Linked DNA regions of Callithrix jacchus. The protein of the gene in region 6 purifies or fractionates together with the protein of the main gene of each other region. This does not show direct contact. Links are inferred from orthologs where the notes say so. Each region holds a gene or a part of one and is shown on either strand. Other genes may lie near its edges. The genes, in order: NASP, UBN2, HAT1, CHAF1A, IPO4, ASF1A and CABIN1.

Evidence for each region.
Region 1: the proteins of ASF1A (region 6) and NASP purify together in Homo sapiens (affinity purification with mass spectrometry; 6 studies listed by BioGRID and IntAct, counting the BioPlex papers as one, with this or other methods). This does not show direct contact. The link is inferred for Callithrix jacchus from reciprocal best matches to the Homo sapiens genes ASF1A and NASP.
Region 2: the proteins of ASF1A (region 6) and UBN2 purify together in Homo sapiens (affinity purification with mass spectrometry; 3 studies listed by BioGRID and IntAct, counting the BioPlex papers as one, with this or other methods). This does not show direct contact. The link is inferred for Callithrix jacchus from reciprocal best matches to the Homo sapiens genes ASF1A and UBN2.
Region 3: the proteins of ASF1A (region 6) and HAT1 purify together in Homo sapiens (affinity purification with mass spectrometry; 4 studies listed by BioGRID and IntAct, counting the BioPlex papers as one, with this or other methods). This does not show direct contact. The link is inferred for Callithrix jacchus from reciprocal best matches to the Homo sapiens genes ASF1A and HAT1.
Region 4: the proteins of ASF1A (region 6) and CHAF1A purify together in Homo sapiens (affinity purification with western blotting; 3 studies listed by BioGRID and IntAct, with this or other methods). This does not show direct contact. The link is inferred for Callithrix jacchus from reciprocal best matches to the Homo sapiens genes ASF1A and CHAF1A.
Region 5: the proteins of ASF1A (region 6) and IPO4 purify together in Homo sapiens (affinity purification with mass spectrometry; 4 studies listed by BioGRID and IntAct, counting the BioPlex papers as one, with this or other methods). This does not show direct contact. The link is inferred for Callithrix jacchus from reciprocal best matches to the Homo sapiens genes ASF1A and IPO4.
Region 7: the proteins of ASF1A (region 6) and CABIN1 purify together in Homo sapiens (affinity purification with mass spectrometry; 4 studies listed by BioGRID and IntAct, counting the BioPlex papers as one, with this or other methods). This does not show direct contact. The link is inferred for Callithrix jacchus from reciprocal best matches to the Homo sapiens genes ASF1A and CABIN1.

Annotation. Positions count from the first base shown.
Region 1 is NC_133508.1:82,362,397-82,365,896, reverse strand, and holds part of NASP (nuclear autoantigenic sperm protein), read right to left. Parts: intron 3,460-3,500; coding exon 3,380-3,459; intron 2,559-3,379; coding exon 2,473-2,558; intron 2,366-2,472; coding exon 2,292-2,365; intron 1,950-2,291; coding exon 1,761-1,949; intron 1,657-1,760; coding exon 1,490-1,656; intron 315-1,489; coding exon 258-314; intron 20-257; coding exon 1-19. UniProt on the Homo sapiens protein: Component of the histone chaperone network. Binds and stabilizes histone H3-H4 not bound to chromatin to maintain a soluble reservoir and modulate degradation by chaperone-mediated autophagy.
Region 2 is NC_133512.1:108,052,224-108,055,723, forward strand, and holds part of UBN2 (ubinuclein-2), read right to left. Parts: intron 2,696-3,500; coding exon 2,206-2,695; intron 1-2,205.
Region 3 is NC_133507.1:57,533,163-57,535,398, forward strand, and holds the end of HAT1 (histone acetyltransferase type B catalytic subunit), read right to left. Parts: intron 995-2,236; coding exon 827-994; 3' UTR 501-826; downstream 1-500. UniProt on the Homo sapiens protein: Histone acetyltransferase that plays a role in different biological processes including cell cycle progression, glucose metabolism, histone production or DNA damage repair. Coordinates histone production and acetylation via H4 promoter binding.
Region 4 is NC_133523.1:4,171,129-4,174,628, forward strand, and holds part of CHAF1A (chromatin assembly factor 1 subunit A), read left to right. Parts: intron 1-2,934; coding exon 2,935-3,164; intron 3,165-3,500. UniProt on the Homo sapiens protein: Acts as a component of the histone chaperone complex chromatin assembly factor 1 (CAF-1), which assembles histone octamers onto DNA during replication and repair.
Region 5 is NC_133509.1:58,495,158-58,499,339, reverse strand, and holds the start of IPO4 (importin-4), read left to right. Parts: upstream 1-1,382; 5' UTR 1,383-1,411; coding exon 1,412-1,480; intron 1,481-1,559; coding exon 1,560-1,646; intron 1,647-1,712; exon of another isoform or gene 1,713-1,744; coding exon 1,745-1,824; intron 1,825-1,910; coding exon 1,911-1,952; intron 1,953-2,358; coding exon 2,359-2,488; intron 2,489-2,578; coding exon 2,579-2,758; intron 2,759-3,381; coding exon 3,382-3,447; intron 3,448-3,552; coding exon 3,553-3,654; intron 3,655-3,740; coding exon 3,741-3,824; intron 3,825-4,182. Other genes in the region: TM9SF1 (transmembrane 9 superfamily member 1), read left to right, coding at 382-775. UniProt on the Homo sapiens protein: Nuclear transport receptor that mediates nuclear import of proteins, such as histones, RPS3A, TNP2 and VDR. Serves as receptor for nuclear localization signals (NLS) in cargo substrates.
Region 6 is NC_133505.1:125,225,159-125,229,139, reverse strand, and holds the start of ASF1A (histone chaperone ASF1A), read right to left. Parts: upstream 2,801-3,981; 5' UTR 2,553-2,800; coding exon 2,444-2,552; intron 891-2,443; exon of another isoform or gene 595-890; coding exon of another isoform or gene 563-594; intron 1-562. UniProt on the Homo sapiens protein: Histone chaperone that facilitates histone deposition and histone exchange and removal during nucleosome assembly and disassembly.
Region 7 is NC_133502.1:195,264,595-195,268,094, forward strand, and holds part of CABIN1 (calcineurin-binding protein cabin-1), read right to left. Parts: intron 3,219-3,500; coding exon 3,122-3,218; intron 2,096-3,121; coding exon 1,427-2,095; intron 924-1,426; coding exon 828-923; intron 301-827; coding exon 226-300; intron 1-225. UniProt on the Homo sapiens protein: May be required for replication-independent chromatin assembly. May serve as a negative regulator of T-cell receptor (TCR) signaling via inhibition of calcineurin. Inhibition of activated calcineurin is dependent on both PKC and calcium signals.

The DNA.
Region 1 (3,500 bases), on a different chromosome or scaffold from region 6:
TTGGCTTTCTACTGGCAATCTGGCAAAATAAGCCTTTATTAGTAATTGTTCAAGCTATACAAGATCAATGCTGAGGCTTATATGACTTACGTTTAGTTTTTTAGAGACAGTCTCACTATGTTTCTAAGTATTGAATTCCAAGCCTCAAGCAATCCTCCTACTTTGGCCTCCCAAAGTGCTGGGATTACAGGCAAGCGCCACCACACTGTGCCAACACTGAGACTTAATAAGTGACCAAAAACCACCTGAATACCCACCATAGAGACTGAAGAGATTCCTCCACTAGGAGTGAAACCTGAAGTAGAGCTCTCCACCTGTATGAGAAATGACAAACCCAATTGGTTTTAGTTTAGAACCCGGCCACTCACAGGTACCAATCACCAACCAAACAACTGATCTCAAATGCTAGTGGCCTCCATGTAGTGTCAAGATCATCTAACCCTGGCCAACCTATGCTTGTCTAGCAGCCACCCAAAGCATAGTCAGAGGGTACATAATAAACTAAATCTTCCATATCCTCCCTCCAGGGTAAAAAGCTCTGTGACATCCTGACAGCCAAAAACAGTACCAGGCAATTTGTGGTGAATGCCTCTCAATAAGTCACCAATTTATGCAAATGAGTTCTCAGAGATGGAAACAGCAACTTACATATTTTTTTCTTTTTTTTTTTTTTGAGACAGTGTTTCGCTTGTTACCCAGGCTGGAGTGCAGTGGCGAAATCTCGGCTCACCGCAACCTCCGCCTCCTGGGATCAGGCAATTCTCCTGCCTCAGCCTTCTGAGTAGCTGGGACAGGCATGCGCCACTATGCCCAGCTAATTTTCTTTTTTTTTTTTTAGTAGAGACGGGCTTTCACCATGTTGACCAGGATGGTCTCGATCTCTTGACCTCGTGATCTACCCGCCACGGCCTCCCAAAGTGCTGGGATTACAGGCTTGAGCCACTGCACCTGGCCAGCAACTCACATTTGTTAAGAAATGTCTAATTGTCCAGTACTGGCAGAAGTATATTTTATATACATGTACTACAGGTTGGGCATTCCATCTCTTAATCCAACAATCAAACTTTTTGAGGACTCGCATTGACACTCAAAGGAAATGCTCTCTGGAGCATTTCATAATTTGGGTTAAGGACATCCAACTGTTCAGTATGATGCAAGTATTCCAAAATCCAAAAGCATCTGAAATGCAAAAACACTTCTGGTCTCAAGCATTCAGGTAAGGATACTCAAGCTGTATTATCCATTTTACAAATGGGTCAACTGAGGGAGAGAAATGCCCATAGCCACACACACTAAGTATGGAATTAAAACCCAGATAGTCTGGGGCTCCAGAGTATTTCCTCTTAACCACTACATTATTTGATAGGAATAACAAGATGAGCCCACCAACTGCCTGGAAACCAAGTCATGATGAAAAGTTCCTGGCAAATGGAGTACTAACATAAATGGTACAAACATACTATTATCAAAATCTTGAAATGGAACCAACCAGAGTAGCTTTCAGAGCTAGTTCAGCTACATTCCCACTACGCTGAGACTCCTTTGCATCTTCTATCTTCTCTCTAATTTCAGGTAGCAGTTCCTTCAGCTCCTCAATTTCTTTCTTACATTCAGCAGATGATCGTTCAGCCTCCTTCACCTGCTCATTTAGTACAGCTGTAAAAAGAATAAGTGATAAGTGACAGCACAAAAAAGAACCACTTTTTTTCTTGTTAATTGATGGATCCACGATCACCATGAAGCAGCTCGTCTTCACTCACCCATTCTTTTCTCAATAACTTCAATAGATTTGCTGAACTGTGCAACTGCCTCATCATACTGAGAGTTGTACCCATAAGCCAAGCCCAGCTGGTAGTGGGTCTCTGCAAGGAGACGGTCGTGGGCTTCCAAGTACTGTTCCTGAAGGTTTAGGCAGGACTGGAATTCCTCCACAGCTTGTACATAGTTCTCTAATGAAGAGACAAAGAAGAGCAAGTAAATGGACAGCATTTAACATAAAATACTTCCAGAATTCAGACCCATCCTATGGGAATATGCCCCTATTTAATATTTCATTTTTGTATGTTTCCAGTCCCCTTGACTATAAAGAATGTCAAAATGACTTTTAAAAACCTACTCAAAGACTTTCTATCAGAGTACAACTTGGAAGAGACTGTTCATTATTCCATGTTCTACAGGAAATCTAAACCTGTCTTTTTAATGATCAATCAAGTTGGGTTCCAGAGAGTTTGTTATGGGAAGATCAGGAGAGATGAACAGAGTAGGAGAGTGTAAAATGGAAAATGCATTACCAGATTCAACACTGACTTCTCCGAGTTTAAGATGCGCCTGGGCAGCATAAAGCTGGGCTTCTTTTGTTTCTTGCCTAAAAGAAGGAAAGCTGATGAAAAACCTTAACAGTACTTGTCTAACACTGATTTCTATTTAATCACCAAGCTCCCAACCTGAGCCTAGAAGCACTAAGAGTTTTACCTTTTAAAAATGATCTTTGCTAAATCCAGCATATCCCAGGCAAGTTCTAGGTTCCCAATCTCTTCCTCTTCGTTTTCCTGAAGAGACTAAAGTATGTCCAAATAAAAAAGATAGGCATGTTTTCACAGTACAAATCTAAATGTATAATTTAGCATAGCTAAAAACAAAATAGTTGACATACAATTCAAAATTTGAACTTTCTCCCTATTATCTAGAGAATGGGTCCACATACTATCCTAAGTCATGACCATGTCAGTGGTATTTAACAGTGAAATGTTGGGTCACATATTAACACACATGACCCCTAATCAATATGTCCTTACATCTTAGGCACGAATAAAGGGTCCCTAATTCATAACCAAGAGATAATTATAATAATCATCCCTAGGGCTGGGCATGGTGGCTCATGCCTATAATCCCAACACTTTGGGAAGCTGAGGCAGGAGGATTACTTGAGGCCAGGTTTGAGACCAGCCTGGGCAGCATAACATCTAATAAAATTAGAGAACAAATTAACCAGGCATGGCAGCAGACATCTGGATACCTAGCTGTCTGAGAGGCTAAGGTGGGAGGATTCCTTGAGCTCAGGAGGCTGAAGATACAATGAGCCATGTTCATGCCAGCCTGGGCAACAGAAACAGGGATTCTATCTCTTAAAAAAAAAAATCATTGTGCCTAAACTAGTAAGCTACAGTCCTGCAAATTAGCTAGCCATGCTGGCATAAGCCTGTAGTCCCAGCTACTTGAGAGGCTGAGGTGAAGGGATTACTTAAGCCCTGAGGGTCGAGGCTGTAGTGAGCCATGATCACGATCACCCCACTGTAATCCAGCCTAGGCAACAAAGTGAACGCTTGTCTCCCAAAAAAGGAAAAAAGCAGACAACAGTACTGAGTAGCTAACAGTGTACCTTGTTTTCAAGGACTGAATCATTTGGCATTTCTTCAGCCTTATCATTTTCTTTATCATCCTCTTCTGAGCCTTCAGTTTCTAGAAGTAAAAATTCCTCAGTATTGAGAATATAACTAAAA
Region 2 (3,500 bases), on a different chromosome or scaffold from region 6:
TTTAAATACCTAATTAAGTGGGTTTTTTTGGAGACAGAATCTCACCATGTTGCCCAGGCAGGGCTCAAACTCCTGGACTCAAAGCAATCCTCCTGCCTTGGCCTCCCCAAAGTGCTGGGATTACAGATGTAAGCCACTGTGCCCAGCCTGAATCTTATTGATAATTTCCCAGTACCGGGTTGGGAAGAAGCTGTATAATCCTGGCATGACTACTATAGAGATAGACATTATTTGATATGAGCTATAAGAGAGTCTTACAAGATTGAAACACACTCAATCACTAACCAATTTTGTTTAAGTGAGCATGAGGCCGGGCACAGTGGCTCACACCTGTAATCCCAACACTTTGGGAGGCCAAGGTGGATGGATCACCTGAAGTCAGGAGTTTGAGAGCAGCCTGGCCAACATGGTAAAACTCTGTCTCTACTAAAAATACAAAAATTAGCTGTTGTGGGGAGCACCTGTAATCCCAGCTACTTGGGAGACTGAGGCAGGAGACTGCTTGAATCCGGAGGTGGAGGTTGTGGTGAGCCAAGATTATGCCACTGCACTCCAGCCTGGGTGACAAAGCGAGACTCCATTGCAAAACAAAACAAATCGGCCGGGCACGGTGCCTCAAGCCTGTAATCCCAGCACTTTTGGAGGCCGAGGCGGGTGGATCACGAGGTCAAGTGATCGAGACCATCCTGGTCAATGAGGTGAAACCCCCGTCTCTACTAAAAATACAAAAAAATTAGCTGGGCATGGTGGCGCGTGCCTGTAATCCCAGCTACTCAGGAGGGTGAGGCAGGAGAATTGCTTGAACCCAGGAGGCGGAGGTTGCAGTGAGCCGAGATCGCACCATTGCACTCCAGCCTGGGTAACAACAGCAAAACTCCGTCTCAAAAAAAACCCAAAAAACAAAAAACAAAAAAAATCCTGACCTTGAATCCTGGCTCGGCCACTTAAAAATTATGTGGCCTTGGGTTAAGTTACTTAATGTTCTTGAACCTTATTTTCCTCATAAATTAAACGGGAGAAACACTACCTAAAGCATGACTGTTGAGAAGATTATACAACACAGTGTGTAAAACATATGAAACCCACTCAGGGCTACCGTCTCCTGAGAAGTAAATGGGGCCGTGTAGGACGTAGCTGCACCGCAACCAACACACAGGGTTCTTGCTAAATAAACGATAGCTATTATTAATTACACCTTGAAAAACCTGAATTACATCACTAGCACTTTTTAAAACCTAAAAGAAACTAAGATTGTAGAGATAGGGCCACACGGAATAACAAAAAGCCTATGCCACTTATTCTGGAGTCAGGTGAATCCTGCATTTAATAATAAAAGAATCAACTGTATCGATGTTATCACTATAGTTATTTCTATTTATTTATTTTTATTTTATTTTATGTTATTTATTTTTTTGAGAAAGAGTTTCGCTCTGTCACCTAGACTACAGTGCAGTGGCATGATCTCAGCTCACTGCAACCTCTGCCTCCCAGGTTCAAGTGATTCCCCTGCCTCACCCTCCTCAGTAGCTGGGATTACAGGCGTGTGCCACTATGCCCACCTAAATTTTTTTGTATTTTTAGTAGAGACAGAGTTTCACCGTATTGACCAGGCTATTCTCAAACTCCTGACCTCAGGTGGTTCACCCGCCTTGTCCTCCCTCAAGTGCTGAGATTACACGCATGAGCCACCATGCCCAGCCAGTTATTTTCTACTAAAAAGAAAGGTCTAGGCTGGGCATGGTGGCTCACACCTGTAATCCCAGCACTTTAGGAGGCTGAGGTGGGCAGATCACCTGAGGTCAGGAGTTAGATCAGCCTGGCCAGTGTACCAAAAACCCCATTTCTACTAAAAAAAATTAGCCAGGTGAGGTGGTACACACCTGAAATTCAAGCTACTTGGGAGGCTGAGGCAGGAGAATCGCTTGAACCCAGGAGGCAGAGGTTGCAGTGAGCCAAGCACACCACTGCACTCCAGCCTGGGAGACAGAGCAAGACTTTCTCTCAAAAAAAAGAAAAGAAGAAAAGGTCTAAAAGGAAACATGGAAAACAAAAAGTCAGAAAAATGTTGGGACTGTAGGTTATTATTTTTATCTTTAATAAAACCAAAGCAATTATATCAGTGATATGTGGAAAATAAAAACAAACAAAAGCATTAATTTTCATGTTTATGCAGCAAATAAAAAGCAAGAGGATTATTACACTTACTACACGGAGGTCTTCGATACGTTTTTCAAGAAGTACAGGTAGACCCTCTGGGAGTGTAGGTACCACTTTGGGCATAACCTGAGAAGTATAGGTTGGCTGGGTGGTGGTTCCATTTTCACCCCCTGACTCAGACAGGGGGCTACCATCAGAAGCAGCATCCAGTAATCTGTCGAAGTCGAAATCATCTAGCATCTCTAGGGCATTTTCGGCTTCCTGAAACAGCTCATGTTCACTTGTGCTAACAAAAATGGGAAGGTCTGGATCAGCGCTGCTCAGATTTAAGTCCGGGACATCATTCCCCAGTGCTGCAGTGGCACAAGGGGGTTTATTCAGAGAGGAAGTTGACGAGGTCACTGGGACTTTGGGGCTAGACTCCTTCTTTAATGCATCCTTCTCCTTCTGGAATTTTCTAATCATGGCAGCTAGAGAAAGAGAATCTTTATAACGTTTCTTCTTTTTTTCACACTTGTGTGAATTTAGAGCCACAACTCTGTGAAGAAAAAAATGATCCAGCTATGTGTGATTTTAAAGGTTAAAGTGTCATATAAATAAATACGTGCAGAATTAAAGTAATCATTTGACAGGTAACAGCAGTTTTCCTAATTTCTTATTAATTTATACTATTATAATAGCATCTTCTTCCCTTGAAAGGCAAATAGGTAAATGGCCATTATGGTGAAAAAAATGAGGAAAGAGCTCAGTTTAGCTATTACTTTCTCCTAGAAATCTTACCTAAATCCTATGGCTTAAATGCTTCCAAATGTGCACTACAGAACCTAAAAGGTTATTAGCATCTTGAAGGTAGACCCATGTTTCAGTCACTGTTACACAACCCAAACCCTACATCAGTGCCTGCCATACAGCAGGGTACTAATATTTGCTGAATGAATGAATAAGTTATATAGCTGAAAAACAATACATTCAATAAAAGGGATTACTTGTAGCCTACATTCCCAAAGAAGTTTACTTGTAAATAACGAAAATTTAAGACAATCATTAGTAATATAAACATTTTTGTCTCCTAATTTCTTAATGACTGTAATCCCAAGTTTTAGGAGGGAAGAAATACCCTCTACATCAACCTTATGGATACTGATAGCCCAAAATTCAGGTGTATCTCCACTGGTAAGTACAGAAACAAAATTCAGCCTTTCACAAGTGTCTTTCCCTTAGCTCTGTGAAAAAAGCCACAGAGAAGTCGAGGCAATTGACAATTTTTTGATTGCACTATACAAATATTTTATTCTGATGTAAGGCTTCTGAGAAATTCTATTTGATTTTTAGCAGCAACATCA
Region 3 (2,236 bases), on a different chromosome or scaffold from region 6:
GGAAGCAACCTAAATGTCCATCAGTGACAGACTGGATAAAGAAAATGTGGTACATACACACCACAGAATACTATGCAGTCATAAAAAAAGAACAAGATCATGTTTTTTGCGGGGACACAGATGGCGCTGGAAGCCATTAAACTAACACAGGCACAGAAAACCAAATACTGCAGGTTCTCACAAGTGGGAGCTAAATGGTAAGAACACATGGACAAAAAGAAGGGAACAAGACACTGGGGTCTACTCGAAGACAGGCTGAGAGGAGGGAGAAGGGCAGAAGAATGAACTACTGGTACAGGCTTCGTATCTGGATGTTGAAATAATCTGTGCAAGAAACCCCCAGGACACAAGTTTACCTATGTAACGAACCTCCACATGTACCCCTGAACTTAAAAAAGAAAGAAGAATCATATTGAAAAAGTAAAATTACCAGGATAAACCTTAAAGAAATGTTTTAAAGGTGTCGGATGTAAAATCTTAGAAGCAAACTGTAGAAGGAATGATAAGAATAAGGTTTATTGTAAATATTTAAGAATCATATCACACATTAACATATCACAACTAAGCATTTATTATACTGTTTAAGAAGGGAAGCAACTGCAGTAGTATTTCAGAAGCTTTATCTTTTTCAAATGCAATATATGCTCATAAACTCTAAACAGTATTTTAAAATATACAATCTCTCCAAAAGAAAATATTCAACTAAAGATAGATAACTTTTAGTATAAGCAAAATGTCACAAGATTTTAAAATTAAAAGTCATCAGATTTTTCACAGCACATTGTACAGAAAATTTGCAAGCTTCCTGTACACCACAGTATAATCTTTACTCTTGAGCAAGTCGTTCAATAACACGCCGGTAATCTTCTACTAGTTCCTGAAAACTCTCTTCCAGCTGTTCATGTTGCATGCTTATTTCTATTTGGTTCATCTGATTTGTCAGTTCTTCTGGTCTGAGACATTTTCTCATCTTAGCAAGATCTCTTTGCTTTTTCTAGGTGACAAACAATTATTTGTTAGACTAAGAAAGCAAATATATTTCCTCGTAGTCTTACAACTTTAAGTGTCCAATGTTAAAAATAAGAATAGTACAAATATGCCAAAACTTGTCCCACACTTTTTTTTTAAAGGAAGCTTAAACATAATGTTAACCATGAATTGCAAACTCTCTAAAAACAGTTAACAGGAAGACCTGGTATTTGTGTCCAATTGATGATAAATACAGACATGTGACTAGGAGCCCCCTCCAAAACTTTAGAGAACTCTGGCCAGTGTGGAAACTCAAATATTTCTTTAATAAATAAAAGACATGAGGTGAAGAAAGACCACTGAGATTAAGTGCTATTATGCTTCATTTTACTATTCAATCATTAATTACATTTTAAATTCCACCCATGAAGTATTTATGTGCCACATGCTAATTTTAACATAAACTGTTAGAAATGTTTCAGAAAGATAAATGGGAAACTGTGACACTTAAAAACACATTAACTAGGTCGGGCATGGTGGTTCACACCTGTAATCCCAGCACTTTGGGAGGCCAAGACAGGTAGATCACAAGGTCAGGAGATTAAGACCATCCCGGCCAACATGGTGAAACACGGTCTCTACTACAAATTTAAAAAGAATTAGCTGGGCGTGGCGGCGGCGCATGCTTGTAATCCCAGCTACTCAGGAGGCTGAGGCAAGAGAATCACTTGAACCTGGGAGGCAGAGGTTGCAGTGAGCAGAATCGTGCCACTGCACTCTAGCCTGGTGACAGAGCAAGACTGTTTCAAAAAAACTGTATATTACACACACACACACACACACACACACACACACACTAGCATTTGAGTCTCTATGAAGTTCCAGACACACATTATCATACTAAACCCTCCCTGTTTTACTTAGGATACCACTATGCTGAGTTTGGAACAGGTAGCTGGTAAGAACTTTTATGCAGGACACTGTCAAAACAATACTATGTCAGAGATGTTTAGGATGGGACTGGACAACTGGGCAGCTACTGCAGTAGTTCAAACCAGAGTTGATGAAAGCCTAGATCAAGTCAGCAGCAGCAGAGACGGAGGGGACAGGGCAGATTTAGGGGAGAAAATACTGGGTGATACGGGGAAGGAAGAATGAACAGTAACTCCAAGATTCCTGGTTGGATGGCATTATTGCAAATATAAAGCTTTCATGTTTTGGATATACTGTTCTAAATTATCGTATCAATTCTTCTATTAGAGAATAA
Region 4 (3,500 bases), on a different chromosome or scaffold from region 6:
TGATTCACTTGAAGTTTCTAGAAGCCTTCTATTTCTTGCTTAGGAATAGGACGGGAGACTGCTCCACCCACAGGTATGTTAACAGTGTCCTTGTTCAGTACAGACAGTCACCTTTGTCATCTGTGTTGTATGTCAGATGCAGTCACACAGGACACTGGCAAGAAATGAAAATTGACATCTTTCAGACTGTGTCTCTCTGGCTTTTGTTAAGGCTACCAGAGATGTACTGGGACACATTTAGAGCATTTCCTTAGAGACAAAGGCAGATACTCTTAACCCAAACTGAAAGCTGAGCTGTCAGGCTCCAGACATGTGGGAATCCCGTATTGGAGAGAGATGGTCCTCATTCTGTGCTGGGAGTGGGCACCTGTGGAGCCGGGCAGGTGATCATTTTGTGTTTTTTTTTTTTTTTGAGATGGAGTCTTCCCTCCGTTGCCCAGGCTGGAGTGCAGTGGCAAGATCTCGGCTCACTGCAACCTCCGCCTACCAGGTTCAAGCGATTCTTCTGCCTCAGCCTCCCCAGTAGCTGGGATTACAGGCACACGCCACCACTCCTGACTAATTTTTGTATTTTTAGTAGAGACAGGGTTTCACCATGTTGGCCAAGTTGGTCTCAAACTCTTGACCTCAAGTGATCCGCCTGCCTGGATCTCCCAGAGTGCCAGGATTACAGGCGTCAGCCACCACGCCCAGCTGACCGTGTTTAACATTAAACTTCAGGTGACATAATGACTGAGTGTCCAGGGCACTACCAAGTCTTTGGAATGAGGAACTTAGCAATGAAGTGTTACTCTCTTAAAGAATTTGAGGCCAGGTGTGGTGGCTCATGTCTGTAATCCCAGCACTTTGGGAGGCCAAGGTGGGCAGATCAAGAAGAGGTCAGGAGTTCAAGACCAGCCTGACCAATGTGGGAAAACCCTGTCTCTACTAAAAATACGAAAATTAGCTGGGCGCGGTGGCATGCGCCTATAGTCCCAGCCACTCAGGAGGCTGAGGCAGGAGAATCGCTTGAACCAGGGAGTTCGAGGTTGCAGTGAGCAAGGTGGCGCCATTGCACTCCAGCCTGGTGACAGAGCGAGACTCTGTCTCAAAAAAGAAAAGAGAGAAAAAAACCTGGGCTGGTTGTGATGGCTCATGCCTATAATCCTAGCATTTTGGGAGGCTGAGTTGGGCAGGTTACTTGAGCACAGAAGTTCAAGATCAGCCTTGGCAACATGGTGAGACTCTGTCTTTACAAGAATTAGCCAGGTGCGGTGATAGGTACCTGTAGTCCCAGCTACTCAGGCGGCTGAGGCAAGAAGATGGCTTTTTTTTTTTTTTGAGATGGAGTCTTGCTCTGTTTCCCAGTCTGGGGTATGGTGGCACATCTGGGCTCACTGCAACCTCTGCTTCCTGAGTTCAAGCAATTCTCCTGCCGCAGCCTCCCGAGCAGCTGGGACTACAGGTGCACACCACCATGTTCAGCTAATTTTTTTGTACTTTTAGTAGTCTCGGGGTTTTACCATATTGGCCAGTCAGTCTTGAGCTCCTGACCTTGTGATTGACCCGCCTCAGCCTCCCAGGGTGCTGGGATTACAGGCGTGAGCCACTACGCCCAGTCAGAAGATTGCTGTGAGCCCAGGACGGAGGTTTCATTGAGCCAAGATAGTGTTGCCGCTCTCCAGGCTGGGCACTAGAATGAGACCCCATCTTCAAATTAGTAAATGCTTTGGGGTTTTTTTGTTTGTTTTTTAGGCAGAGTCTCGCTCTGTTGCCCAGGCTGGAGTGCCATGGCATGATCTTGAACTGCCTTCTGTGTTCCAGTGATTCTTGTGCCTCAGCCTCCTGAGTAGCTGGAACTATAGGTGTGCATCGCCACATCTGGCTAAATTTTTTGTATTTTTAGTAGAGATGGTGTTTTACCTTGTTGGCCAGGCTGTTCTTGAACTCCTGGCCTCAAGCAATCTGTCTTCCTCAGCCCCCCAAAGTGCTGGGATTATAGGAGTGAGCTCCATTGCGCCGGCCCGATTGTGTTTTAAATGAATCTTATATTGAATTGCCCACATGTATCGGACACAGGGCTAATTATTATCATTTTTCTCATGATGGAGGGAAGCATAATGGACGATGAAAATCACTTCTGTGGCTGGGTGCTATGGCTCATGCCTATAATCCCAACACTTTGGGGGCTGAGGCAGAGAGATTGTTTGAGCCCAGGTGTTCAAGACCGGTCTGAGCAACACAGCAAAACTCCATCTCTAGGAAAAGTATAAAAATGCCTGGGTATAGTGGCATGTGCATGTATTCCCTGCTACTCAGGAGGCTGAGGCAGGAGGACTGCTTGAGCCTGGGAGGTCGAGGCTGCAGCGAGCTGTGACTACACCACTGTACTCCAGCCTGGGCAACAGAGTGGACTTCAACTAAAAAAAAAATAAACTTACTTCTGTGTAAGGTTGTTGATTGGAGGCTCTTCCTGCAGCTGATCTCTGAATTCTTTTTTTTTTTTTAACTGAGTCTCACTTGGTTGCCCAGGCTGGAGTGCAATGATATGATCTTAACTCACTGCACCCTAGGTCTCCTGGGTCCAAGTGATTCTCCTGCCTCAACCTCCTAAGTAGCTGGGAGTACAGGCAGCTACCCTCTACCACGCCTGGCTAATTTTCGGAATTTTATTAGAGACTGGGTGTCACCATGTTGACCAGGCTGGTCTCGAACTCCTGACCTCAGGTGATCTACCCACCTTGACCTCCCGAAGTGCTGGAATTACAGGCATGTGCCACTGCGCCTGGCCTTGGTCCCCAAATTCTGTCCCTCTCATCTAGGCCCAGCTCTTCCCCCATGCTCTGATCAGAGCTTCCTCCTGGGATCAAGAGAGAGGGCCACTTGACACTGTCTTGAGCTCCCTCCTGGGGACTGGCAAGAAGGCCACCTGTCACCTGCCACACTGTCTTACAGGATCAGGAGCGCCTGGGCAAACAGCTCAAGTTACGTGCAGAAAGAGAAGAAAAGGAGAAGCTGAAAGAGGAGGCCAAGCGGGCCAAGGAAGAGGCCAAGAAGAAGAAGGAGGAAGAGAAGGAGCTGAAGGAAAAGGAGAGGCGGGAGAAACGGGAGAAGGATGAGAAGGAGAAGGCAGAGAAGCAGCGGCTTAAGGAAGAGCGGCGCAAGGAGAGGCAGGAAGCCCTGGAGTGAGTGCCCTCAGCCGTCCGTGCTGGGCCTACCTCCCCGCTGCTGGATTCCACTTCTGGCCGCTCTGATGGGCCTTTGGTGTTTCGCAGGCAGACTGGGGCTGCCATCAGTTCCTTTCTGTTTCTCCTGTGTGAGCTGCACGTGCGTCCCCGACGTGGGAGCAGTGGAAAGCAGCTCCCTGCTCTTTTGTGCTCCCCCATGTCCACTCACCCTGGGCCCCTTGTCTCTGCCTGTGACTGTCCTTCCAGTTCCCAACCAACTGAGGCATTTGCATCGCAGGAATATGGGTTTTGTTTGTGGTAATTTTGCATCGGCTGGCTAAAGTCTTTTATATA
Region 5 (4,182 bases), on a different chromosome or scaffold from region 6:
GCTCTCTAGAGACATCTCCCTCTTCACCTTCCTGGTTTCCAACCTTAGTGTCTATGGCCATCATGTGAGACTTAAAGCCTATTTGATTACTCATTTACTTTGTTGAATACCTCTTTGTGCCAAGCAGAGAATGAAGTGGAAAGTAAAATGGACAACATCCCTGCCCTTAACCTATCAGGGAAGATACTCTTGAAGTGAGAGCAGTTAATCATAGGCAAAAAATTCCCATGAAGCTAGGAGTTCTGGGGCAGAGAGTGGAGTGAACTCACTTTTCACAATGACCCAGCAACATGGGAGAGGGTGGGGGCTGGATTTTGGCCCAGCCACCGTGCTGACAGTGCACAGCCCTTTAATGCTGTGTATCATCTCTTTTCTTCACAGTGCCATCTCTGTGGAGCTGTACTACATCTTTGCCACAGTATGGGGTCGGGAGCAGTACACTTTGTATGGCATCCTCTTCTTTGTCTTCGCTATCCTGCTGAGTGTGGGGGCTTGCATCTCCATTGCACTCACCTACTTCCAGTTATCTGGGGAGGATTACCGCTGGTGGTGGCGATCTGTGCTAAGTGTTGGCTCCACCGGCCTCTTCATCTTCCTCTACTCAGTTTTCTATTATGCCCGGCGCTCCAACATGTCTGGGGCAGTACAGACAGTAGAGTTCTTTGGCTACTCCTTACTCACTGGTTATGTCTTCTTCCTCATGCTGGGCACCATCTCCTTTTTTTCTTCCCTCAAGTTCATCCGTTATATCTATGTTAACCTCAAAATGGACTGAGTTCTGAATGGCAGAACTACTGCTGTTCTCTCCCTTTCTTCACGCCCCGTTGAGCTGTCCTACCAGCTTCTCTTTTGATTGAGTGACTGAACTGTGTGATGGCATTGTTGCCTTCCCCTTTGCCCTTTGGGTCTTCCTTCCCCAGAGAGGGCCTGGAAATTATAAATCTCTATTATATTAAGGAATATATATTTGAACTTTTTAAGTTGCCTTTAGTTTTGGTCCTGATTTTTCTTTTTACAATTATCAAAATAAAATTTATTAAGAAAAAGGATCATGTAGTTGGAGGTTTTGGTCTGGATATAGAAACGCGAGCCCTGCTGTTAACGGCACGGCCCTTTAGAAAGCGGAGCTGGCCACGGAATAACCGAATTTCGAGTTCTCCAACCCAGCTTGGGAACTCTCAGCGTGGGGAACCTATATTGCCAGAGCACGGTTTCCGCGACTCAGCCGGTGCTCAGCCTAACGGAAGTGGAGGAGCCGGACGTCTTTGTGGGAAGTGAATTGAATCACCTTGGCGACCCGCGGGGCGTGCGGCAACGCCCTTTCCGCCGGAAGTGGCTGTCAGCCTCCACGTGCTGTCCCTCCCCCTCCCCCTCCCCCTTTCAGCCCAATAGCGGCGGCTCAGCTGCTGCCATGGAGCCCGCCAGTCTGGAGCAGCTCTTACGGGAACTGCTGCTGCCGGACACCGAGCGCATCCTTCGGGTATGGAGCGGGCGTAACCGACCAGGGCGAGCGGGAGGTTGCGGGAAAGGCCCGACTCTCACTCCTAGCTTTCCCCTAGGCCACGGAACAGCTCCACATCGCTCTGCGGGCCCCCGCCGCCTTGCCGGCTCTCTGCGACCTGCTCACCTCGGCAGCCGACCCCCAGGTGAGACCCCTGCACTGGCCAAGCCCCAGTAAACGCCCCGTGCGGTCCCCTCAGCACCTTCCTTACCGGACCCCCACATGCCTACTTCCTCGTCCCAGATCCGCCAGTTTGCGGCCGTGCTGACCCGCAGACGATTGAACACCCGCTGGCGACGGCTGGCGGCGGAGCAACGGGAGAGGTGGGCTGGGCCTGGGGCGGGGCGGGGCCAGGTGGAAGCTTTTCTTGGGCAGGCCGGGTACCAAACACCTGCCATCTGTGTTCTAGCCTCAAGTCCCTGATCTTGACGGCCCTGCAGAGAGAAACAGAGTGAGTATCTACTCCCTTCTCTCGGGATCTTGACGACCTTCTTTGGGTTTCTGCCTTCCCCTTCAGCTGCAGGCTGGGACTTGGGGGGCAAGGACTTCCGTTCTAGACCAAAGTGAAGATTTTAAGGCTGTTTCGAAGACTGAAGTTCTTGAGAAAGGGTGATGATGATCTGGCAAACCAAAGTCAGAAGAATGAGACTGAAATTCAGGCTAAGTAAGACTGAGCTTACCAGATTACATGCCCGCAGTGCAGCTGGGCTCCCTCTGAGCTTCTATCTCATGTGTCCCAACTTGGCAAAGACCCTGTGCCCACCACTCCTGAAAGTTTCCCTCCTGGCTGCCCCAATGAGTCTGGCCACTCAAGAGGAAGGCATTGGAGGGTGACTGGAGATCTCTCCTGTTTGCAGGCACTGTGTGATCCTCAGCTTGGCCCAGCTTTCAGGCACCATTTTTCGAAAGGAAGGCCTGGAGGCCTGGCCTCAGCTTTTGCAGCTTCTTCAGCACAGTACCCACAGCCCCCACAGCCCAGAGAGAGAGGTACCATTACATAGTTGGCAGGAGGAGGGAGGGCCCAAGAGGCCGGATAGACCATGTAAGCTCGCCCTCCCATCCTCTACTCTTGGACAGATGGGGCTTTTGCTGCTGAGTGTGGTGGTGACCTCCTGGCCCGAGGCCTTCCAACCCCACCATAGGGAGCTTCTTCAGCTTCTGAATGAGACTCTTGGTGAGGTGGGCTCTCCTGGGCTGCTCTTCTACTCCCTGCGTACTCTGACCACCATGGCCCCCTACCTCAGCACTGAAGATGTGGTGAGATGTGGGCCCACTCATATCACTGACTGCCTTTCCTCAGGCCTTCATGTCCTCACCCTTAAAAGTTACAAAGCTGTGCCAGACATGGTGGCTCATGCCTGTAATCTCAGCACTTTCAGAGGCAAAGGCACGCAGATCACAAGGTCAAGAGATCGAGACCATCCTGGACAACATGGTGAAACCCTGTCTCTACTAAAAGTACAATAAATTAGCCAGGTGTGGTGGTGTGTGCCTATAGTCCCAGCTGCTCGGTAGGCTGAGGCAGGAGAATCACTTGAACCAGGGAGGCAGAGGTTATGTGAGCTGAGATCGCACCTCTGCACTCTAGCTTGGCAACAGAACGAGACTCTGTTTCAAAACACACAAACACACACCCTACAAAACTGCTTTGGATTCTTTACCTGCCTTTGGCCCCTACACACACACACACACACACACACACCCAAAGCTGCTTTGGATTCTTTACCTGCCTTTGGCCCTTCCTGACAATTGAGAGGGGATGCTGTAGGTGGGCCTGGCTTGTTCCTGGGCTCCTCCTCACAATTCAGGCTGTGAGGAAGCTGCCAGCTGTTGGGTTGTAAGATTAGGCTGCATCATGCTCTCTGTGATGTGTCTTTTAGCCTCTCGCTCAGATGTTGGTGCCTAAGCTGATTGTGGCAGTGCAGACCCTGATCCCCATAGACGAGGTGAGGACAGGTGGGCAGGAGCTCTGTTGGAAGGAGAGTGCAGAAGTGTCAGCTGGGCCCACTGAAGAAGAGCATGGTCACCCTGTGCCTTGTTTTGTCTGTCAGGCAAAGGCCTGTGAGGCCCTTGAGGCTTTGGATGAACTGTTGGAGTCAGAGGTACCCATCATCACTCCCCACCTCTCTAAGGTCCTCACATTCTGCCTGGAGGTGAGCCTGGAATGGACATGGCACCGGCTACATGCCCTGCTGGGACTTTGCTTGCCTGGCTCTGATTCTTATTATTCTCTGGACAGGTGGCTAGAAATGTGGCCCTGGGCAATGCGATACGTGTACGTATCCTTTGCTCCCTCACTTTCTTGGTCAAAGTCAAAAGCAAGGTGAGTTACCATTGACACATCACCAACTGTCCATCTCCACCCTTAATCTCACTTTTGGGGCTTTCTGTCCATCTCAGGGTATCTAAAGTACTATGGGGGTTCAAGCCTTGCCCTGGCCTCACCCCAACTCCTGCCTCGGATATTGGGAATCTTCTGTCAGACCCCTATGGCCTGGAAGACTGTTTTTTTTTGAGATAAGAGTTTTGCTCTTGTTGCCCAGGCTGGAGTGCAATGGTGCAATCTCAGCTCACCACAACCCCTGCCTCCTGGGTTCAAGTGATTCTCCTGCCTCAGCCTCCCAGTAGCTGGGATTACAGGCATGTGCCACCATGCCTAGCTAATTTTGTGTTTTTAGTAG
Region 6 (3,981 bases):
AAAAACTAAAAAATTAGCCTGATATGGTGGTACATTGACCGTCTTCTCAGCTACTCAGGAGGCTGAGGTGGGAGGACTGATTGAGATTGTAGGGAGCTGTGTTTGCACCACTGCACTCCACCCAGCCTGAGTGACACAGTGAGACCCTGTCTCATTTAAAAGAAAAATTTTTTCTATAGTTTAAGAATTTTTTTTTAAAAAAACTATAATATAAAAGTATGGAACCTATAAGAAACCTTTGCTAAGTAAACTCATTTCCTAAATCCACATAGCCTCTAGGTGGAGTACACAGTCATGGCCCCTTTTTGAAAGATTCCTTTGCAGCTTTGGCATGACTCAGCTTAAAATATTTTTTAAAATACTAAATACTCAGTAATGGTGCCTTGGAAGTGAAATATACCATTGGAAATAAGCATATTCTTGACACCAGTACTGTAAAACCCTGATGTGATTCAGCTGGGTTCTGAATGGATCCCACTTAAAAATGGAACATGTTTTGGCTTCTATGAATGGCTGGTTTCATCTATAACGACATCCTGAGTCATCTATCTTCTTTGTTCAGAGCTGACTCCTAAAATGGAAGGCATCACTTGAGAAATACCTGTAATTTGAAGAACTTCTGGTGGTATATTTGAAGAACACTGTGGTATAATTTGGAATGGACTGACCAATGATTTTTCTTTTGTCTGTTTTTATATGCAATTGGCAATAAAAAAGAAAAATTTACTGACTGTTGGGTGTGAAAAATGGTGCTGGTAGCTGCAATGCTTATATTAATAGTAGTATCGTAAGAGAATAATCAGATGACTTCAGAGTAATACGAAAAATACCCCTTAATGTTATCAATGGCCTATTTGAAATTATTTTAATAAATGAATTATCTTTTAAAATTTGCCCTATATGTGTATTTATGCTCTGCATAGGTCTTAAAAAACAGAGGCACACATGTTAAAGTAATAATTGTGATTACCTAAAGGAGTGAGATAGGGGAAGGTATTTAACACAGAGAACTGTTAACTTTATATATGCCTGTACAACTTTCTATAAGTTTATTACAATGAACATATATTGTTTTTATAAAGTTAACAACTCACATAAGATATATACATTTTAGAGATTAAAAACTAGTTTTTAAAATGAAAATAGTTTTACATGCTATGATTAGCCAAATCTTCAATGCATTTTAAAAATATACTTCTAATTCAAAGATGTCCCTCATCGATGAAGTTAAACTTTTTCCCCTTCAAAACTGGCAAATTAAGCACTGAATTACTTTAGTAAAATAAAAGCAAGGATAATTGTCGTTTTAGCTTTCTAAATATTACTACACATATTTTAAAATACGTATTTTTAAGACCTTGAAACATGTAGAAAAAAATATAAAGAATTCTTGGACTAAGTATTTTACCTTAATTTTCTAGCCTACGTTTGTGTTTCATGTTCAGGGTGTGTTGTGTATCTGGATGTGGAGTTATTTTAGATTTCAACACGTCCTTGAAGAAAGTCTTAAAGACTATTTAGAAGGCAAAGATTAAGTCCTGAAATTATTTAAGTATCCAATTTCTGCTCTTAGGTTAAATGTAACTTCCTAGCTCAGCTCTTATTTCTCTTCCTGAGATTAGCTTTTCGTCATTAGGGGAAAGGAGTCCACGTTGGTTGGGGAGCCTGCGCGCCAGCATCCCGGCGCATCCCGGGCGCCGGCCGAGGAGGACCGGCCGAACAGGACCCGCGGCCCCCGGGGAACGCCGGCGCCCAGCCCGCGGCGCGGAGGGGCCGAGCCTGTGCCCGCCTCCCCTGCTGGTTGGTCGAGGGAGCCAGAAATCAGCGCGAGGACAGCCTCGCTCTCCTCTCTGAAGCGGCCGGGCATGGCCAGCCCGGAGAGTGAGGCGACTCCACTGTGAGCTCTAGAGAGTTGACTACCTGCCTTTCGCCAGGGGCTGGAGGGCAGGCGGGCGGCGGGGCAAGAGAAGGCGCCGTGCGCCGGGGTCGCTGGCCCAATTCTCGACTCGGGGTAAGATGGCTCCGCTCCGAACTCGCCGGCGCTACTACACGCACAGCCTCTCCCTTCCCAGCCTCCGTGCCCAAGCCCGGAGGGTCGTGGAGGCTGGTCGTGGAGCCAGCCCCGCGCGACCCCCGGCGGCGCCGCGGGCGCGAGTGCCGGTCTCCGAGCTGCCCGCTCGCAGACAAAGCTGACAACATGGCTACCTCCGCTCCTCGGCTCAAACAAGTTCCTCGCAAGTTGAGCCCGGCAGACGCCTGGGCTGCGGCGGAACGCCGCGCGCGCCTCGGCTGCCGTCGTCCATCAACTTCAAGTTTCCCTCCGCAGAGGAGCCCGCGGCCGCCCGGCGCCGAGCACGGCCGCCCAGCGCGAGGCCGGGCCCGGGAAACTTTCAACGTCTGCAGCCCGCAACTGACAGCCCGGGTGCGCGGGCGCCGCACTCACCTTCAGACAGGTCCTCGATGCACTCGAAGGTGATCTCGAACTGGAACGGGTTGTAGAAAGGAGAAGGATTATCCAGCACCACTACATTGTTCACCTGAACCTTTGCCATATTTTGAAAAAAACACAAACAATGGGAACTGGGGCTGGTTGCGGCACAATAAAGTCCAGCGCGCGGCCGCCCGGGAGAGCGCAGACCCCCGCCCCAGCGCCGGCCCGACGTCGTGCAGCGGCGACTTGAGAAACTTTTTTTTCCCTCTTTTTATTTACACGGGAACACTCCACAGTGTTTTGCAGCTTTCCTATTTCACTAAACTACAGCCCATTCTGCTCTGATAAGTAGCAGCGTTGCCCTCGATTGGCTGCACCCGAGCTCTGACCCTCCTCCTCCAGCGAGTGCCTCGGCAGCCAGCAAGATGGGCTCCCGCTCCCGGAATGGACTCGGAAACTTTAACTGCGGCTCCACCTGCTGGTGTGGATTAGGACAAAGGCGGAGAACAAAGTGAGTGGAATAAGGGCTGGGAGGCCCGCGCGGAGGCCGCCGCCGGCGTCGCGGAGAGAGGCGAGGGGCGTGGCCGCGGCGGGGAGGCGTGGCCGTGGCGGGAGGGCGCGATCCGGGCGACGCCCGCCCCTCTAGTTGGTTTCGTGTGAGGTGTTTTGGCGTTTTTTGTTTTTTGGTTTTTTGTTTTAACGCTTTTTTTTCTTTTTTTTTTTTTTTTACATCGGTGCAAAGGCTCTGACGGCCTTGCTGAATTTAGCAGATGAGAGTCCGTGTTTACACTGGGTTAGGTTCAGCTTTCTGTGTATCGGGTAGTATTTGGAGTAGAGAGAATGATTAGCTGCAGTGGAAATAAATTGCATGTTAAAGACCGATGTCGGCTCGAAAGGAGCAAAGCCATTTTGGAAATCTAGCTCTTGGCCAGTATCTACGTTTGGGCACGACAGCGCCGTTAAGCAGACACAAAATGAAGGGCGAGGAATGATTTTCCACACACTGTGCTTGGAAAATCTAAATAGGTAACCTTTGGGCTTGCACCTGGGCGTCGTCTTCCGAGTCCAGATCTGGAAAGTCCTAGAATAAGAAAAGAATCACAAGCGATGTGATTAGTTATACCCCAGGTTACAGCCATTTGGAGAGAACAGAAAATGGAAGTGTCAGGAGACCAACAGGGCAACAAACATAACAGATGGGAAAAGAACACAAAGGCATAGCAAGACATTTGATCTTCAAAAAAAAATTCTTGACCTAAACCGTTAGTAAATAAAAATTTGTAGCACAGCAAGCAAATTCTCAGGAGCCCTTGCTTGCCTGTAACCAGTTCGGGTTTGAACTGAGGAAACGTTGATTCGTTTATGCGGCTTGACTACCATTGCAGGGAAAGAGGAAGCTTTAACATGTCTGTGAGCCTAAACCGTTTCTATTTAGTAAGTGATGTAAAGGGTTGTTTTATTACCTGCTATCCATAAACCATCACTTTTTTCCTTAAATGTTGTGAATGAAACCACCAAACTTGGCCAAATTCAGAGAGAAAAATTCTTAA
Region 7 (3,500 bases), on a different chromosome or scaffold from region 6:
AGGGAACTCCTCAGCATGTCTGACCTGGAGTCTGGGGCCCGTCCAAGGCACTGCCCACCATGGCCATTGGCTGGAGGCTCAGCTACCCCCTGCTCATTTCCCCTCAGCCCAAGCTGACCACAAGAACAGTCCCAAGAGTGAACCTGCTTCTCAGTCTGCATCGTGGGGCCTTGTTGTGGGGCAGGCTCCACAAGATAAGACTGGCACAGGCTAAGTTGGGCTTACCTGTCTCTGGGCGGCAGCCCCGAGGTGGACTTGGCAGAACTTCACAGCCTGCTCCAGCGCAGCCTCCTCATCCACCTTAACAGGGAGATGCCCGAGATCAGGGGACCCAGGCCATTGTGGCTGGCCTCCCTCAAGCCCTGTCTGCATAGGTAGCACAGGCCAGCCTGGGCAGGGGGCATGCCCTGTGGCTCAGATACCCACCACCACCCCAGACTCTGCTGAATCGCCAGCTGTCCCCACTGCCGTCCACACCCAGATCCCACCTCCCAGCTCTTCATAGGCAGCAGGGGCAGGTGCCTGTCCAACTTTCAGGTGGGGGTGCCTGCACAGGTCCCACAGCACCAGGCACTGGTGCCAGGACTGAACCCAGCTATTCCTCTAAGCCCATCTGGCCATACCAAGTTCATTTCTATGGCTGAGTTACTTACATCCTCACAAGATGAAGCTGACAGGCAGACTCAGGGCCCCAACCAAGCCTTCAAATTTGGCTGAGGCCCAGTGGTTAGGGGATGAAGGGAGTCTCCTAAGCTAGAATGTGCCCCTTAAGTGGGCAGGGTGGAGGGCTGTGATCAGAGTGGGAGAGGCCTTTTGGAATTCCAGACCTGACGGTGAGAGCCCCATGCTGTGTTGAGTGCGTCCAGAGATTCAGTGCCCAAGGTCCACATGATATGGGGCAGGTGTAGGGGGTGCACTGCAAACTGACATGATTAGGGGAAAAACTGTCAGGGATGGTCATCCCATTTAAGCCAGTCACTAAAGTTTTGGAGATTCTTCCTATGGGAATAATTTTAAATGGAGAAAAAGGAAAGTGCCTGACATATTAAAATACATTTTTTTTTTTTAATAAGAAAGGCATTTCTGGTCACACTTAGGGCGCTGCAGTCATCTTTAAATGAGAGCCACAGAAGTCTTGACAGAAATGCCCTAAGATGTGCCCAGAGGCCCAGTGCAGCAGTGGGAGCAGTGGTCCAGACTCCCTGTGCTGGTGTGATGAAGTTTCTGTGATGGGCTCTCACTTCCTTCCAGGATGAATATCAACTTGTTAAAGCTCATTGCAGAAAGTGAACAGTGGGGATGGGATGGGAATGACACCTAAATCCACCCCAAGGGCGGCCTGGGACGACCCTCCTTGAGAACAGAAAGGCAAGAGTGGGGGTGCTGCCAGCAGACAAGTGCCCTCAGGCCTCTGCCCACCGCCCACCTGCTTGATGAGCATGTAGGTCTCCGACATGATCCTCTCCACACGGCCCAGGTCATAGGCCACGCCCTTCTGGCCCTGCTGCCACACACGGTAGGCGTCCAGCAGAAGTGTCTTGCCAGATTCTGTGTCCTCCAGGAGCTTCCTCTTGCGGCTGAGCCGGGGGAGCGGCTCCTCAGGGTGGCCGCCCCCCCTGGTCCCCATGGTGGTGGCAGGGGCAGGGGCTGGCTGGGCTAGGGTGAGCAGGGTGGGCTGTTGCCGAGCACTGATGCTCAGCTCCTCCAGGGACAGCTCAGTGGGCCGGCTCTCAGGGCCTCGGTCCCTCGGGGGGCGACCTGGCAGCAAGGGTGTTGTCCGCTCCAAGTCTGAGTGGCAAATAGTGGCCTCGCCTGTATCCATGGGCTCAGTGAGCCCTGCCCGGGGGCTCTCCTTGTCCTTCCGCTCCCCGCTTTGGTCTGCACTGTCTCCTGCATCCATGGCCACAGGCCGGTGGTTGAGAAGGCCCACTTTGCCCCCTGGCTCGGGGCCTGGCCCTGAACCATCAGTCAGAGGGGGCTTCTTTGGCTGGGGGAGGCCCTCCTGGCCATCCTCAGGAGTGGCCTTGTGTGAGACATCGGTGGTCATCCTGGCTCCAGGGAGGCTGCAGACCTTGGGCCCTGGGCGTTCTGACCCCTACAAAGAAACCAAAGGCAAGATGCTGTGTCGTTGGTATCTCCACTGTAATGAATCACCTCTGGGCACTGGTGTGCCCATCCTGGGCCTCTCCCACCTGACATCTGTCTGGCTCTGGATATCTGCCAGCTGGCCAGGGCTATGTCCCAGTTATCAGAGAAGAACAATGGGCCCAGAGACCTGCATAAGAAGAACCAACCCTTCTCTGTACCTCTAGCTGCCCCACCACATTCCCAGGTAGCAAGGGGCTGATGGGACTCTGGAGGTGGTGCTGCTCCTGAATAACAGGCCTGGGCTGAGTTGGGGCAGTACTGTCCAGCTCTTCTTCGACTCCATGATGTGAACTCTGGGCAGCTCTGGGCATTTTATGGGAGGGGACCTGTCCAGAGCCACCAAGCATGTTTGCTGCAGAGCCAAGTCTTCCTGGCCCCTAATGCATGAGGCCCTGCGGTTGGCAGGTGGCTGGCAAGGACTCCTCCCCAACAGGCTCAGGATGCCAACCTGATCCTCTGCACCGAGTCACAGCCAACCCTACCAGGCATAAGCTCTGGAGGCAGTCCTGGCTCAACTCTCAACAGCCCCACTGGCTAGGCTGGCTACTTAACCTCCCTGGCCTCCTCCAGGTGCTCAGCTGTGAGGAGGAGGCACCGCTGCACCTGCCTCGAGGCTGAAAAGGGACGATGCACACACACAGTGTTCTCGCAGGCCTTGTCAACCTGCTAGGGAGAGGGCTTGGGACCCTGCCCTGGGTGGTGCATGCCCTTGGGGAGCTCAGTTTTGTGGAGCCACTATGTCTCTTACTAATCACCAAGTGCATCCATGCCTCACTGAATTCACATGCATTCATGACCACGGCTAACCTTCCCTGCCTAGGAAGAGGCAGGATGGGTGCTACCTCATGGATGGGGATCCTTAGACACATCCTGCTTAGGTGTATGCAAACGGTGGGATTGGGCCCACCACCTGGGAAGAGCTTGGGAGCGTATTCACGGGGCTGTGGAGGAGAGGTGGATGCAGGTGGCATACCTCTGCAAGCTCGCTCAGTGTGTCCTCCAGCACCTTCACTGTGAGGATGAAGGCCCGCTGTGCCAGGACCTGGCGGTCAGCATCTCGTAGATACTTCCTATAGTCATATAGGGGTAGTCAGAGAGGACGGGAGAGCATCCCACACCACACAGCACTGCTGGATGGTGGCTGCTGCCCATGCCTGCCTTGGGGATGCCTTGAGGTTGGTTCCTCAGTGTCCCAACAGCCCACCTGTTGGTACTGCTCCCCTAGAAGTCCTCCAAGCTCCCTCTACCCACAGAGCCAGTAGGCTTCTGACCTGGCACCAGCCTGCTGCCCTTGGGCCCTCTGTAGTGGGTCCACCCTGTGTGCTGCACTCAGTGACAGCTGGGGAAGGCCT